Linked DNA regions of Daphnia pulex. The protein of the gene in region 3 binds, or shares a complex with, the protein of the main gene of each other region. Links are inferred from orthologs where the notes say so. Each region holds a gene or a part of one and is shown on either strand. Other genes may lie near its edges.

Region 1 (4,216 bases), on a different chromosome or scaffold from region 3:
GTGCATTCATTCTTCGTTTCAAAGCAAAGAAAAGAAAAACAAAAAAAAACTAAACAATTAGCTCTGGACCATCTTTACTCTGCCGAGTCCAACAGCACACACAATGGCGACAATTTCTTCCACGAGTTGACACAGATTTTTTTTTCTTCTCTTCTATACATTAAAAGAAGGGATGGGAAATAGAATAAAGAAAGAAATTGCAACTAATAAACGGCGCGGGCCAGGAAGATTGTAGAAAAAGAAAGAATAGGAGGATAACTTGGAATGTTCGTTTTGGGTGAGTCCACAACGCTCCAAAATCGTCAACAAGAAAATTCCAACCTCCTCATCTTTTCTTTCCAAAGCCTTGACACCAAAGATGAAAAATTCATCTTGATTGTTAACTATGCAGCTTCACGGTTTGACAAAAAGATTGGAGTGTGGCGGGGAAAACAAAGAGTAGATACACATTGGAAGAATGCTGGATCGACTTTGTGCGTATGATCGCGTCGTATGTCACAGCAGCGCACAGAAATTCTATGACTGAAAATTTGGAAAAGAAGAAACAAAACAAACAATACATCCACTTACCCTGTGGTAAATTGGGCGGATGAGTAGACAAGTAAATAGAATCCTCGAAACGAAACAGAAGATTTTCCAGCCCAAGGACTTGGGGTGCTACTGTTGGATGGATAGTGTGTGAACGCCAATGTAATCTTCCAAGATTTTTTTAGTTAGAAAAAGCACAAGAAGAAAAAAATGGACTTTCTTTTAACAATAAAGTTGTTAAAGTTTATCAGATGGAGAGAAAAAAAATAAACAAATTTATTCGGGATGTTTAGTGGGTGTGGAAGGCTGTAAATCGATGATCTTGCATACCCAACCAGCTATCTCCACGTTTTCAGAGGTCCATTTTTTTACCCATTCGTGACCCTAAGAACAGAATAATGATTTAATAACTACATCAGAAAAAAACAAAAAAAAAATTGTGGAACAGACCATTAGTGTACGTAGAGCGGGTCGTTCAGCCGGATTTTTCTTGAGACACCGATCGACAAAATCTTTGAATTCCACAGAGAAAACGCCGGACGGTAGTTTGGGAGGTGGTTCATTGACAATGTAATCCAAAAGCTCAAATATCGCCATCGGCCTAGGGCCATTGCCGACTCCTCCAGGAAATTGGCCTGCGGTTTCAAGAACGGATCTCTAAGCATTTGAAAGAAATGCGAAAAACAATGGATTATTACTTTGTCGAGGCGATCGACTGCTAGGAGACGGAGTCATGTTCTCAGGATCTTCGCTGAATTTTGCACCAAAAATGTTGGCCAATACCTGTGGATCAGGTGGGGGGATAGGGTACATGCCAATGGCCATTTCAACTAACGACAGCCCAAGAGACCAGACATCACTCTGAATCGAATAGTGTGTTCCTTGTAATCGTTCCGGCTAGCAGAAAAATACATTTTAATGGTATTTCGAAGTGAAAATGACTTTTCTAAACTTATTTAAAGACGACGTACCGACATGTAACTTCTCGTTCCTACAAATGAGTTAGCCATGGAGTCAATAAGCTGACCAGACACTCCAAAGTCACAAATTTTGATCTCTCCTCGACTGTTGACCAGAATGTTGCTTGGTTTAACATCGCGATGTATAATTTGATGTTTGTCTCGAAGATAACTCAACCCTTTCAAAACCTAAGCAAAAAAGCTTTTCTTATTTCGAACCCTTTAATAGATTAAGTATTAATTTTAGATCATCTTACAGCAATTGTTATCTTCCCTAGATATTGTTCTGGAATACGACCCGCTTTTTTCAGGATCAAGTCTAATGATCCTCCATCCATGTATTCCATGCAAATACTTATTTCACCATCACTACAAAAAATTAAACCAAAGTTAACAAATGCATTTGGGAAAGTTTTAAATTAGGTACCTGTAGAATGCTCCATAGAACCCAACAATATGAGGTGAATTGCACTCATGAAGCACCTTTAGCTCTCTAATTATTTGCTTCTTAATGGCAGGTTTCACTTCAAGATGTATCAACTAGGGAAACATAAATAAAACATCTGTGTTAAAAAAAAACCACTTAAATTTTTTCTGCTGTTGGTATTACCTTTCTGGCCATGATCAATCCAGAAGGACGATGTCTGACTTTGGTGACTACACCCCCATTTCCGGCACCTAGTTCACCAAGCTTATCAAAATCATCATCTGTCAGTTCACCAACTTCTTGCTTTTGTGAGAGAAACTTGTGCAATCTCTGTCGTTGAAGTTCATCAATATCAAGTTCCTCCAGCTGTTTTTGCAAAGCCTCTAATGTTGTATTTCCCATGGTTGTATTTCCGCTACTGTGAAAAATGTACATCATTGAGGATGACAACTTGGTGTTTATAGTGAACTTACTCAATTCCAGAATGTATAACTACACTACTGGTCTGTGTCATTGATTTGGCAGAGTTAATAGCTGCTGCTATGTTATTACTCCTTCCTGATGTTTCTCCAGGACTGGGGGTGGAGACTGGGTCTGGTTCCACAGGAGGAAGAGTTAAATTGAATTTGTTTTTTGACATTTTGCCTTTCGTTTCCGATGTATGAAATTCGTAAGCTTTACAACTAAAATGAACTCGCTCAGCTTATGATGACAGTAAAAGTTCTTCCAGTTCCTTCTCTATATAAAAAAATGCATCAAAAGAAAACTTATTGGCGGAACTCAAACACGAATAAACAAGTAGGCTGGCTATATCAACAGATCAGAATTGCAAAATTGTTCAGCGAAAAAGTTTTGACAAGAGTCAACCCTCGGACAATCCGTAGTTGCAATTTTTAATATTTCAACACACATTTCCATTATATTTGCAAACTGACATTTATTTTATTTTGAAAAATAATAAATATATTTACATTTCACAATTGCGACAATAATTTTAAAAATTGTAAAATTGATTATATTCACGAAAATTTAAGAACGCACCCTATGGAAGCGGAATCCACCTATTGGCAGAGAGAGGAGTTAACCTTAGTCCTCTTTCTTGGTTCGGTGTTTCTCTTGTACCCTCAAACACTTCTGAAGTAAGTCAACGAGAGTTCTCTTTCTGTTATCCAAAGATATTTAAAACATCTTTAACTTGTCGTGGTTCTTTGTTGATCCATTAAATTACGTTTTTATCGTGTGTTACATTAAACTGTTCAATTTTGTGTAGAAATGGGTCGATATTCGCGTGAACCGGACAACCCGACCAAGTCATGCAAGGCTAGGGGCTCCAACCTCCGCGTTCACTTCAAGGTATTGTTTTAACATATACTCGCGCTTGTGAAAGTTTCTTAACGTACGACTTGAATTTGATTGAATAGAACACGAGGGAGGCTGCCAACACCATTAAGCGTATGCCATTGAAGAGGGCTGTTGCTTTCCTCAAGAACGTCATCCAGCATAAGGAGTGTGTTCCATTCCGTCGTTACAACGGAGGTGTCGGCCGGTGTGCTCAGGTTAGTAGCTCATTTCTTTTGTATGAATTAAATTGACCAAATTGTGTGATTATAACTCCAAGCATTCTAGACAAAGTGCTGACAGATTGCAATGTTTCAAGACGGATCTGACATTAAAGAAAGATTCAACGTGTTGCCTTTCCACTATTTGGAGTCTAATCTCTATGTTTTGCTTTGCAGGCTAAACAATGGGGTACCACCCAGGGACGTTGGCCCAAGAAGTCTGCAGAGTTCCTTCTGCAGTTGTTGAAGAATGCTGAGTCCAATGCTGACCTCAAGGGTCTAGATGTTGATCACTTGGTCATCGATCACATTCAGGTACAGGAGTGAATCATAGTGTAAAGTTTTTTTCAAAATAGTGTGATTATAACCCTAAGCATTCTAGACTACTAGCTGACAGATTGCAATGTTTCAAGACGGATCTGACTTAAATTGAATTGTCAATTCATTTTCAAGTTTAAAGAGGAGTTGTCTAAAATTACTTCTCTGTTTTACAGATTAACCGTGCTCCATACATGCGTCGGCGAACATACCGTGCTCACGGAAGAATCAACCCATACATGAGCAGCCCTTGCCACATGGAAGTCATCCTGGCTGAGAAGGAAGACATTGTTTCCAAAGTCAAGGAGGAGGAAGTTACCAACAAAAAGAAGGTTTCAAAGAAGAAGTTGGCTCGCCAAAAGTTGTCCCAGAGGGAATAAACTTTTCCTGTAAACACTTTGTTAACCCTTTGTGTTGCCTGAAAT
Region 2 (2,701 bases), on a different chromosome or scaffold from region 3:
TTTTGTGGGTCTTACAGTTTTCGATCCAAAAAAAGTGTAGAATTTGATGTTTGTCCATCGGATCTGGCCGAACCGGTCATCGATTCAAACGGTTCTGCTCGATTGTTCTTTGCCGGTGAGGCAACCCACGACCACCGTTACTCGACCGTACACGCAGCGGTTGAGACTGGTTGGCGTGAGGCTGACAGAATCGTAGAACATGTAAAGGAAACAAACTTTACCGCCAAACTGTAGTGGGTATGGCATTTTCGCATGACTTCGTTGTTAGGTAATGCGAAATAATGAGGTTTCATGCCAGGTATGACAATGAACTTGTTCTAATTAACTTCAATACTTAGTGTTGAGTTCCTTAAATAAATCAACCATTCTAAAGGTCAAATAGAGTTTCTGATTGTAAACTGATTTTCATAGTTTACAGTTTAAAAAAATTTAAGAAATCATTTCTTTCCTTGGAAATATCTAAGTTAAACAGTCAGCATTTATCAGCTTCAAATCTAACAAGGCTGCAACTGTAAAAGAGAACTTGAATTAATTAGAATGAACACGTTCAAAATTATTTACATTTATTAGAAACAAACTATATACCATCAGTCGAGAGATACACAGACCAGATCAGTTGGCATTCAAAATAAAACCTAAATAACACAGCAACTGTTACAGTGAAGAGTGGAACACAATTGGTTGATTGTTCAATGGAGTTATGGACAATTAGTTGTTAAGATCAGAACGCCTTTCCATATCTTTCATTTCTAAAATGTCTGCTTTCAGTCGAAGTTTTGTAATTTGACGCCAGATTTCTTCTCTGTGATCTGCATTGTGAATGCCAAGCCTCTCGAGGGAAATGTCATTCATTCTTAACAATGCTCTTCCACATATACCGTGCTGCAGGGTATACAGAATTATGCCAAATTCATTTGTCAGTGTAAAAATGGTAATAAAAACAAACTACCTGAATCATCAAGTCACTGTACACTGTGTAAAAATCGCTGCAATGACGTCGAAACCATTTTTGAACATCAGATGTGGTCCATAAGTAAACTGGCTTGGGTCGCGTCGCTTTGGGCTGCATTTAACAAAAAAACTTATGAAAAAAATAAATAAATAATAATTAATAAAAAGTGAAAGTTAAGTACCTTAGGTTTGTTGGTCGGATTAAGATTATCACCGCTGGTATTCATATCTTTCATTATAGATGGCATCAAAACGCAAACTAAAATGTTGCAGAAAAATTTATGTTTATCTTTTTGTTGTTGACATAAAATGCGACGTTGTCGGCTGAGACGATTACCTTGAAAAGAAAACACCGAGTCGACGACCAATTCAAGGTCTTATTTCATTACTTCTTCCCCAAGCCATTTCTTCGTTTCGTCGCTGTTCCTCGTGATAATAACCTGAGGTCTTCTTCTTATAAATTATGCGTGAATAAAAATACTAGTAGATGGCTTTTTCTCTGTCTCTGAGAATAAAGTAGATCAATAAACAAATGTGGCCATTGGCTATCATCAAAGTTGAAAAACTTCTTATTCTTTACACAAATACTTTCAAGTTCTGCTGATCTATCTTAACTGCCTCGGGGGGCAAGCGAACGAGGGATGTGTTTAATGTTGTTTTTTTCTTTCCCTTTTCTACTAGTTTTCAGGTAAAGCGCCTCAGGTAAAGTTGCACCAGACGACGAATCATTTCTTAGTCTGGCGTCTTCTGAGCAAGTTGGATACTTTGAGCTGGCAGAAGAATTTCAAAAGATAACGAAAAGATATAGTGATTTCCAAGTGTCACCAAGAAGAGATTCGTTGCCCTTTCAACCCCAATTTACCAGGATTTCTACTGATTCAATCAAAATAGTGATCAAGTTTACTGACTTTAAAAAAAGGAGGAAATAAGGTGGTTTCAAGTGGTCAGCAAGATGACTCGAGGTTCAAGGGCCACAAGAATTGAATGTGGATGCTGCTAAAGTGCCGGTGAGTTTCGTCTAGGTTCATTCTCCCTTTCTTAAAAAAGTTGGCACGTAGAGCGGAAGAGTGTCGAGACGGCAATTGGAAGCATTTGTTGCCTTATATAAGCATGCTTGTGAGAAGTAGGAAATGATGACGTTCTTTAGTCGGTGTTATGTTGGCTGTAATAATAACTTTTGTGTGTTGTGCGTCTTCTTTTTACCTCTTCTTTCAAGGTCTCGACAACACAGCTTCCATTTTATTAGCGGCTGGGGGACCTCGTGAGTTCAAGGTCTCAAGGCCATCTTCCAAATAAACAAGCCAAAAAAAACAAACTGAGCACGACGACAACGACATCATTCACGCTGACCAAACGGACAAGCAAATCGATTTTTAACCCCGAATGCCGTTCTTCGCCCCATGGCAGCCGAGTCCATTTCGTATAGTCTAATCCAGCAATAGTGGCCCTCTTTCTTCAAGAAAAGAAAAGGATATAAACTCCGCCATGTTCCAGTCATTGGTGTGGATTGTTACCATTTGTTCAGGTAAGAAAATATAGCCATTTTCTAGATTCCGTTGTGTTGATTCTGGTGGAACTTAACCTCAAGAAAATGTGTCTTTCCGAGACTTGGGTCGAGAAACAACCTGTTTACTTTCGTGAAATGCCAATCACTCTCTGTCCAATCCTACACACAAGTTGTTTGAATCCTCCAAGATTTTCTTTTACATCTCATTAGAAAGCAACCGATTCTTCCTTTTTCTTTTTAATG
Region 3 (4,307 bases):
TCTTCCAAAAAATCTGGCGACGTTTTGTTCTTCTTAATTGAGATGGCAATTTGTTCTGCAAATTCGGATGAAATGCTATCAATACCGGGAATATATTGACGGATATTCTCCATCATATTTATTGGACGTTGAAGGGCTTGTCGTAAGCGGTACCATTCGGGTCCATTCCTGTTAATAAAAAAAAGAAACTAAAAATGAACTGCAATATTGTTTTGAATGACAAGGAAATTCATTTTACGTTGGAAGCAGACCCCCACTATTGTAGATGTGGGGTCTTTGGAGTCTATAGAATTCGAGAGCCGTATGACTTCGTCGTGATGGATAACGACCCTCCACCTGGTGCATCCGCTCAATGTCCTCCGGCCGATAAAGCAATAAAAGATTTACGCCAGGTAAAATTTCCTCTCGTACGATAGGGCCGAATTGCAGATACTTTTTCAATCCAGTAACATGCAGTTGGTCAAATGAATACTGTCCTGACCGTCAGAACCGCATATTAATTCAATCATTATTTCCTAGTGTGTACGCATTAGTATACGTAATTAAATTGAATGAACTATAATAGCACGGTAATGACATCCACCCAAATTCGAACAATAATATTTTCATTTTCTTTATTAATTCAAAAGATTTCATGTATTTTGTATTCATACTACAACTTCATACAATTTTCTCGTCTCACCTATGGCGTAACGCCAGATGTTTCCAACAACTGGAAGCGGTTTAGGACCCGGTATTGAACCAAAAGGTTTCATTTCCTTAGTCGAATCGGAAGTTGGGAATTGATGCGGACAGTTGTGGATGCATGTTGTTTGGTTAAAATAGTAAACTTGTTTGTCAACACATTTTTGCCCGCCGCAAAGTCGACTTGGAAGACATAGAGTCCAGGGTATTTGCTTAGAAAACATTTTAAATTTATCAATAACAGTTGAAATAGTTGTGACACTCTGAGAAAACTGACAAGTCTAGTCTGGAATACTTTCTATTCTGTGACAGGAAAACAGATCCATTGCCTTCTGTCAAATTTCCAAGGTCGTTCAATGGGGAGGGTCATCTGCGGACTAATACGCCTTCAAGCAATTGGCAACACAGCTGAACGGCAAAAGTTCATTCAAAATGATTAAATACTCTGTTGAATGTTGATAAGTAAACAATTCATTTTGATACCTTGAGACTTAATCGAATTATTTTATTTGGCGACAATAAACACGGGGAATGTAACAACACAATATAAATCGTAAAGCACTGATGAAGGACAGTTGTGATGACGACTGTGCTTGCACAAATTGATTTGATTTATTTCATTTATCTACTAAGCTAGTGTGAATTTTTGAATTGGAAATCCTTATCTTAAATTTCTAATCATTCCAAGTTAACCCTATCTTTTCCATAACAAGTTAACAACAACGGCTTCCAGCTTCCTCTGACCAGCCACTAGGACTAGGGAAAGCTGCTTCGCCAGCCAATCTATATGCTTGTCCCGGCTGTCTATAAGAGTGTCGCAGTGTTTACTGGTTTCTAGTACCCAGCGCCATTTTTATGCGGTGAGCAACAGCAAAAATGGTCACTGACTCATCGCTGCTGTAGTCTGCAAACGAAAAGAAGAAGCCAAAGCCCTAGGAGATGAATTGTGTGTGTTGATATGATTTCTTCATTTTAATTGATGCGTTTGAAATTATTCAGTTTTACTCAGTACAATGTCTTAGATGTAGCTGTAGGGCTAAACAATTCACCAAGGAACTAGATTAAACTTTGTCCTTCATGCAGTTGTTGTCATAGTGATACTTGATGATTAATTACTCCTTCATCAAAACACAACTTAAGTGAAAAATGACAGCCTATTATGTCAATGGTAATTATAAGTGAATGTTTTTTTATGTGAGGCCTACTGCCATAATTCTCTTTAATTAAAACAGTTGCCGAATGGAGTCCTGAACAGGTTGCTGACTGGATGCGAGGTATGATACAGTCTTATTACCATGTACAAGGCCATTCTAGATCGCAGCATCTTAAATTTTTACAGGCTTGGATGATACACTTGTTCCGTACATACACTTCATGCTCAAACAGGAAATCAATGGCCATAGACTCCTCTCCACGACAGTTGAAGATTTGCCTGTATTTCATATAGACAAACTTGGCCACCAAGAAATCTTCATGGGAGCAGTTGATCTTTTGAGAGATTTTGTAAGATGGACTTTAATCAAATAGTAGTTGATAAACATTTTCTATATTCATGTATTTGCATTAGCACTACAACTTAGATCGAGAAAATCTTCAGTATTTGGCCATGCAATTGGGCTGCAAAGCTAGAAGCCTTTACAATGAGCTAAGAATTATTTATCAGTCATTTGATAATGGGAAAACTGAGCAAGTGACAACTGCAACTCTTGCTGCAGTAGCTGATATCATAGATCAAGTTAAAGATCTGTTATCCTGGCTTGATCGGTGAGCATTTATATCTTTACTTTTAGTTTGCTTTCACCATTTAAATTTTTTCTGACATTTAGGACACCTTTTGACGGCCATGAACCATATTTAGAAGTTAAGGGCAATTTGCTTAAAATATGCCTTGAACTTGCCACAAATGCACAAAGGGATTTGTTTGCTGAACACCCAGTTCAGGTAGAAAACATTCAATAAAATTTCCTCATTGATGTTTAATGGAGCACTATGTCTGATAACTAGGTTATTCGAGAAGGCTGCATCTCTTTAGTCGGAATTACCGATAGAATTATCTGCGAATTTCTGGATCCTTTGGTATTACAACCAGCCTCTCTAGATGTGGCCACTATAAAGAAGAAACCAGAAGAAGATGTCGTGGTTATTAGTTCTCATTCAATTTCTAATAGTTTCGATGGAATTGATCTGTGGTTACAGGTGATTTCTTGAAAAGAAAGATTTATTTGAACAATTTGTGTTCTAATGTTTACAATTTTTATTCTTGCAGGGCATGCTTATTCAGACATCGTATAAAGGCGTTCATGTTATTGGGGCTGTTAAATTTCAAAGTCCAGCCCATCAATGTGGGAAAATAGAAGTAGGTGATGAAGTGGTACAAGTCAACTACCAAACAGTTGTTGGTTGGCAGCAGAAAAAGCTAAAAGCTGCTATGTTGGAGAATCCGGCTAAAGTGATCCTGACCCTTAAAAAGCGGCCTCGTCATTCGAACAATTTTGGACAAATCTACGTGAAGCCTTACAGGCTGCCAAGTAAGAAACGAGAGTCCTACCACTTTCGATGGCATCTAGGTGGTGACGGTCAAACCAAACCGGAGCTTACTTCTTCTTCCAAGGCCATCGACTCGATGTCTATTAGTTCTGTTCCAGTTGTGCATATTGCCCCACCAGTGTAAGCATTATTATTCTTTTATCTAGTTCTGCTTAGTTGACTTAACTGAATCATGTATTTCGTGAACAGAATGGCTGAGGTGACGGCTGCTGAACTCCCCTCAGAAGTGGAGAGCGACGATACTGACGACGACAGTTTCTTGCCAGATAATCACGATCCCGTCGCGGCCGCCGCTGCAGCTGCAGCAGTTGCTGCTGCCACGGGTTCGGATGCAGTGGGAGGCGCAACCGCTTCACCCGCTAGTGTCCGTCTCATTTTGCCGAAGAATAGATTGAGTATTCAGCGAAGGGCGACAGTAACGGGCGCAAGTCCTACTTCATCCCGCCCTGCTCTCAATATCGAGCAGGTAAATTTAAAACATGACACATCTAGTCTTTTTATCTTATCATAAGTCACCTTTATCATTAAACCTTCTACATTTTTTAATGCTTCCTTTACAACAGCAGGAATAAGGACGGTAAAGATGTAGATTTTTTGTGAAAGTTTTGATTTTTGTAGTTTTTGAAAATTGCTTGCTGAATTTTTTTATTTTTTTTTCCCCCAGTTTTGGAAAGAGTTGAAAGAAGGTCAGCAAAGTAAATCACCAGAGCTGCTCGACCTTCTTCGTCAACAGCAACAGCAGCCCGAGCAACGACCACACAGCAGTGTCGGCCACTACGACGGCCAAATTCGTCGACCACACATGAAAGAATCAAATATCAGTCGACAGTCAGAAACTTCTGCGTCCGATAAATCAGAGCTGCTGTTATTGCGAGAAAAGGAGAAGGTCAATGTTATTTCTTCAATGTTGATAGCCGACAAAATCAGTGAGGAACCGAGTGACCTATGTGTAGGGATCGACCAGTTTCAAAAAGACAACAAACAATGTGATGAAAATGAAGTAGAAATTCGGTCGCCGTCGAGAAAAGTATCCCAGGATCGACCGAGATTGGATAAGAGTCAAAGTACACCGACTT

What was found.
Region 1: the proteins of uncharacterized protein LOC124198601 (region 3) and dual specificity mitogen-activated protein kinase kinase 1-like are in contact, whole or in part, in a cryo-EM structure (PDB 8BW9), measured with the Drosophila melanogaster proteins. The link is inferred for Daphnia pulex from reciprocal best matches to the Drosophila melanogaster genes cnk and Dsor1. Residues at the interface, in NP_001286524.1 of Drosophila melanogaster: Arg46, Tyr48, Arg72, Tyr76, Thr92, Lys95, Asn96, Arg99, Arg103, His117, Arg121; in NP_511098.1 of Drosophila melanogaster: Arg200, Gln255, His258, Gln262, Tyr319, Val321, Asn322, Glu323, Pro324, Lys347, Gln348, Asp350, Glu351, Arg352, Ala353, Asp354, Lys356.
Region 2: the proteins of uncharacterized protein LOC124198601 (region 3) and protein aveugle-like are in contact, whole or in part, in a crystal structure (PDB 8BW8), measured with the Drosophila melanogaster proteins. The link is inferred for Daphnia pulex from reciprocal best matches to the Drosophila melanogaster genes cnk and ave. Residues at the interface, in NP_001286524.1 of Drosophila melanogaster: Pro47, Glu51, Leu56, Arg57, Ile58, Gly59, His60, Gln61, Glu62, Leu65, Glu66, Glu69, Lys110, Ile111, Asp112, Thr113, Leu116, His117, Ile119, Thr120, Arg121, Ile123, Lys127, Val130, Glu134, Arg139, Arg145, Cys148, Gly149, Leu152; in NP_725413.1 of Drosophila melanogaster: Tyr24, Gln51, His52, Asp53, Ile54, Arg57, Ala58, Arg61, Ile62, Thr63, Ser66, Arg69, Met70, Glu79, Trp82, Arg83, Val86, Lys87, Arg89, Leu90, Lys91, Asp93, Ile94, Glu96, Ile97, Arg98, Met100, Glu101, Leu103, Asn104.

Annotation. Positions count from the first base shown.
Region 1 is NC_060027.1:2,195,080-2,199,295, reverse strand, and holds dual specificity mitogen-activated protein kinase kinase 1-like, read right to left. Parts: upstream 2,801-4,216; 5' UTR 2,555-2,800; coding exon 2,388-2,554; intron 2,333-2,387; coding exon 2,098-2,332; intron 2,028-2,097; coding exon 1,915-2,027; intron 1,857-1,914; coding exon 1,745-1,856; intron 1,677-1,744; coding exon 1,500-1,676; intron 1,426-1,499; coding exon 1,227-1,425; intron 1,186-1,226; coding exon of another isoform or gene 1,164-1,185; coding exon 979-1,163; intron 913-978; coding exon 805-912; 3' UTR 58-804; downstream 1-57. Other genes in the region: 60S ribosomal protein L17-like, read left to right, coding at 3,187-3,267, 3,336-3,470, 3,651-3,788, 3,968-4,171. UniProt on the Drosophila melanogaster protein: Required downstream of Raf in the sevenless (sev), torso (tor), and Drosophila EGF receptor homolog (DER) signal transduction pathways.
Region 2 is NC_060021.1:9,511,842-9,514,542, reverse strand, and holds protein aveugle-like, read right to left. Parts: upstream 1,277-2,701; 5' UTR 1,200-1,276; coding exon 1,134-1,199; intron 1,064-1,133; coding exon 950-1,063; intron 883-949; coding exon 709-882; 3' UTR 547-708; downstream 1-546. Other genes in the region: spermine oxidase-like, read left to right, coding at 1-234; cadherin-87A-like, read left to right, coding at 2,437-2,476. UniProt on the Drosophila melanogaster protein: Required for normal photoreceptor differentiation between Ras and Raf for EGFR signaling in the eye and for mitogen-activated protein kinase phosphorylation. Probably acts together with Cnk to promote Raf activation, perhaps by recruiting an activating kinase.
Region 3 is NC_060023.1:3,779,527-3,783,833, reverse strand, and holds the start of uncharacterized protein LOC124198601, read left to right. Parts: upstream 1-1,474; 5' UTR 1,475-1,830; coding exon 1,831-1,852; intron 1,853-1,916; coding exon 1,917-1,958; intron 1,959-2,023; coding exon 2,024-2,187; intron 2,188-2,251; coding exon 2,252-2,448; intron 2,449-2,510; coding exon 2,511-2,625; intron 2,626-2,688; coding exon 2,689-2,880; intron 2,881-2,950; coding exon 2,951-3,351; intron 3,352-3,420; coding exon 3,421-3,697; intron 3,698-3,895; coding exon 3,896-4,307. Other genes in the region: cytochrome P450 302a1, mitochondrial-like, read right to left, coding at 1-168, 239-476, 683-908.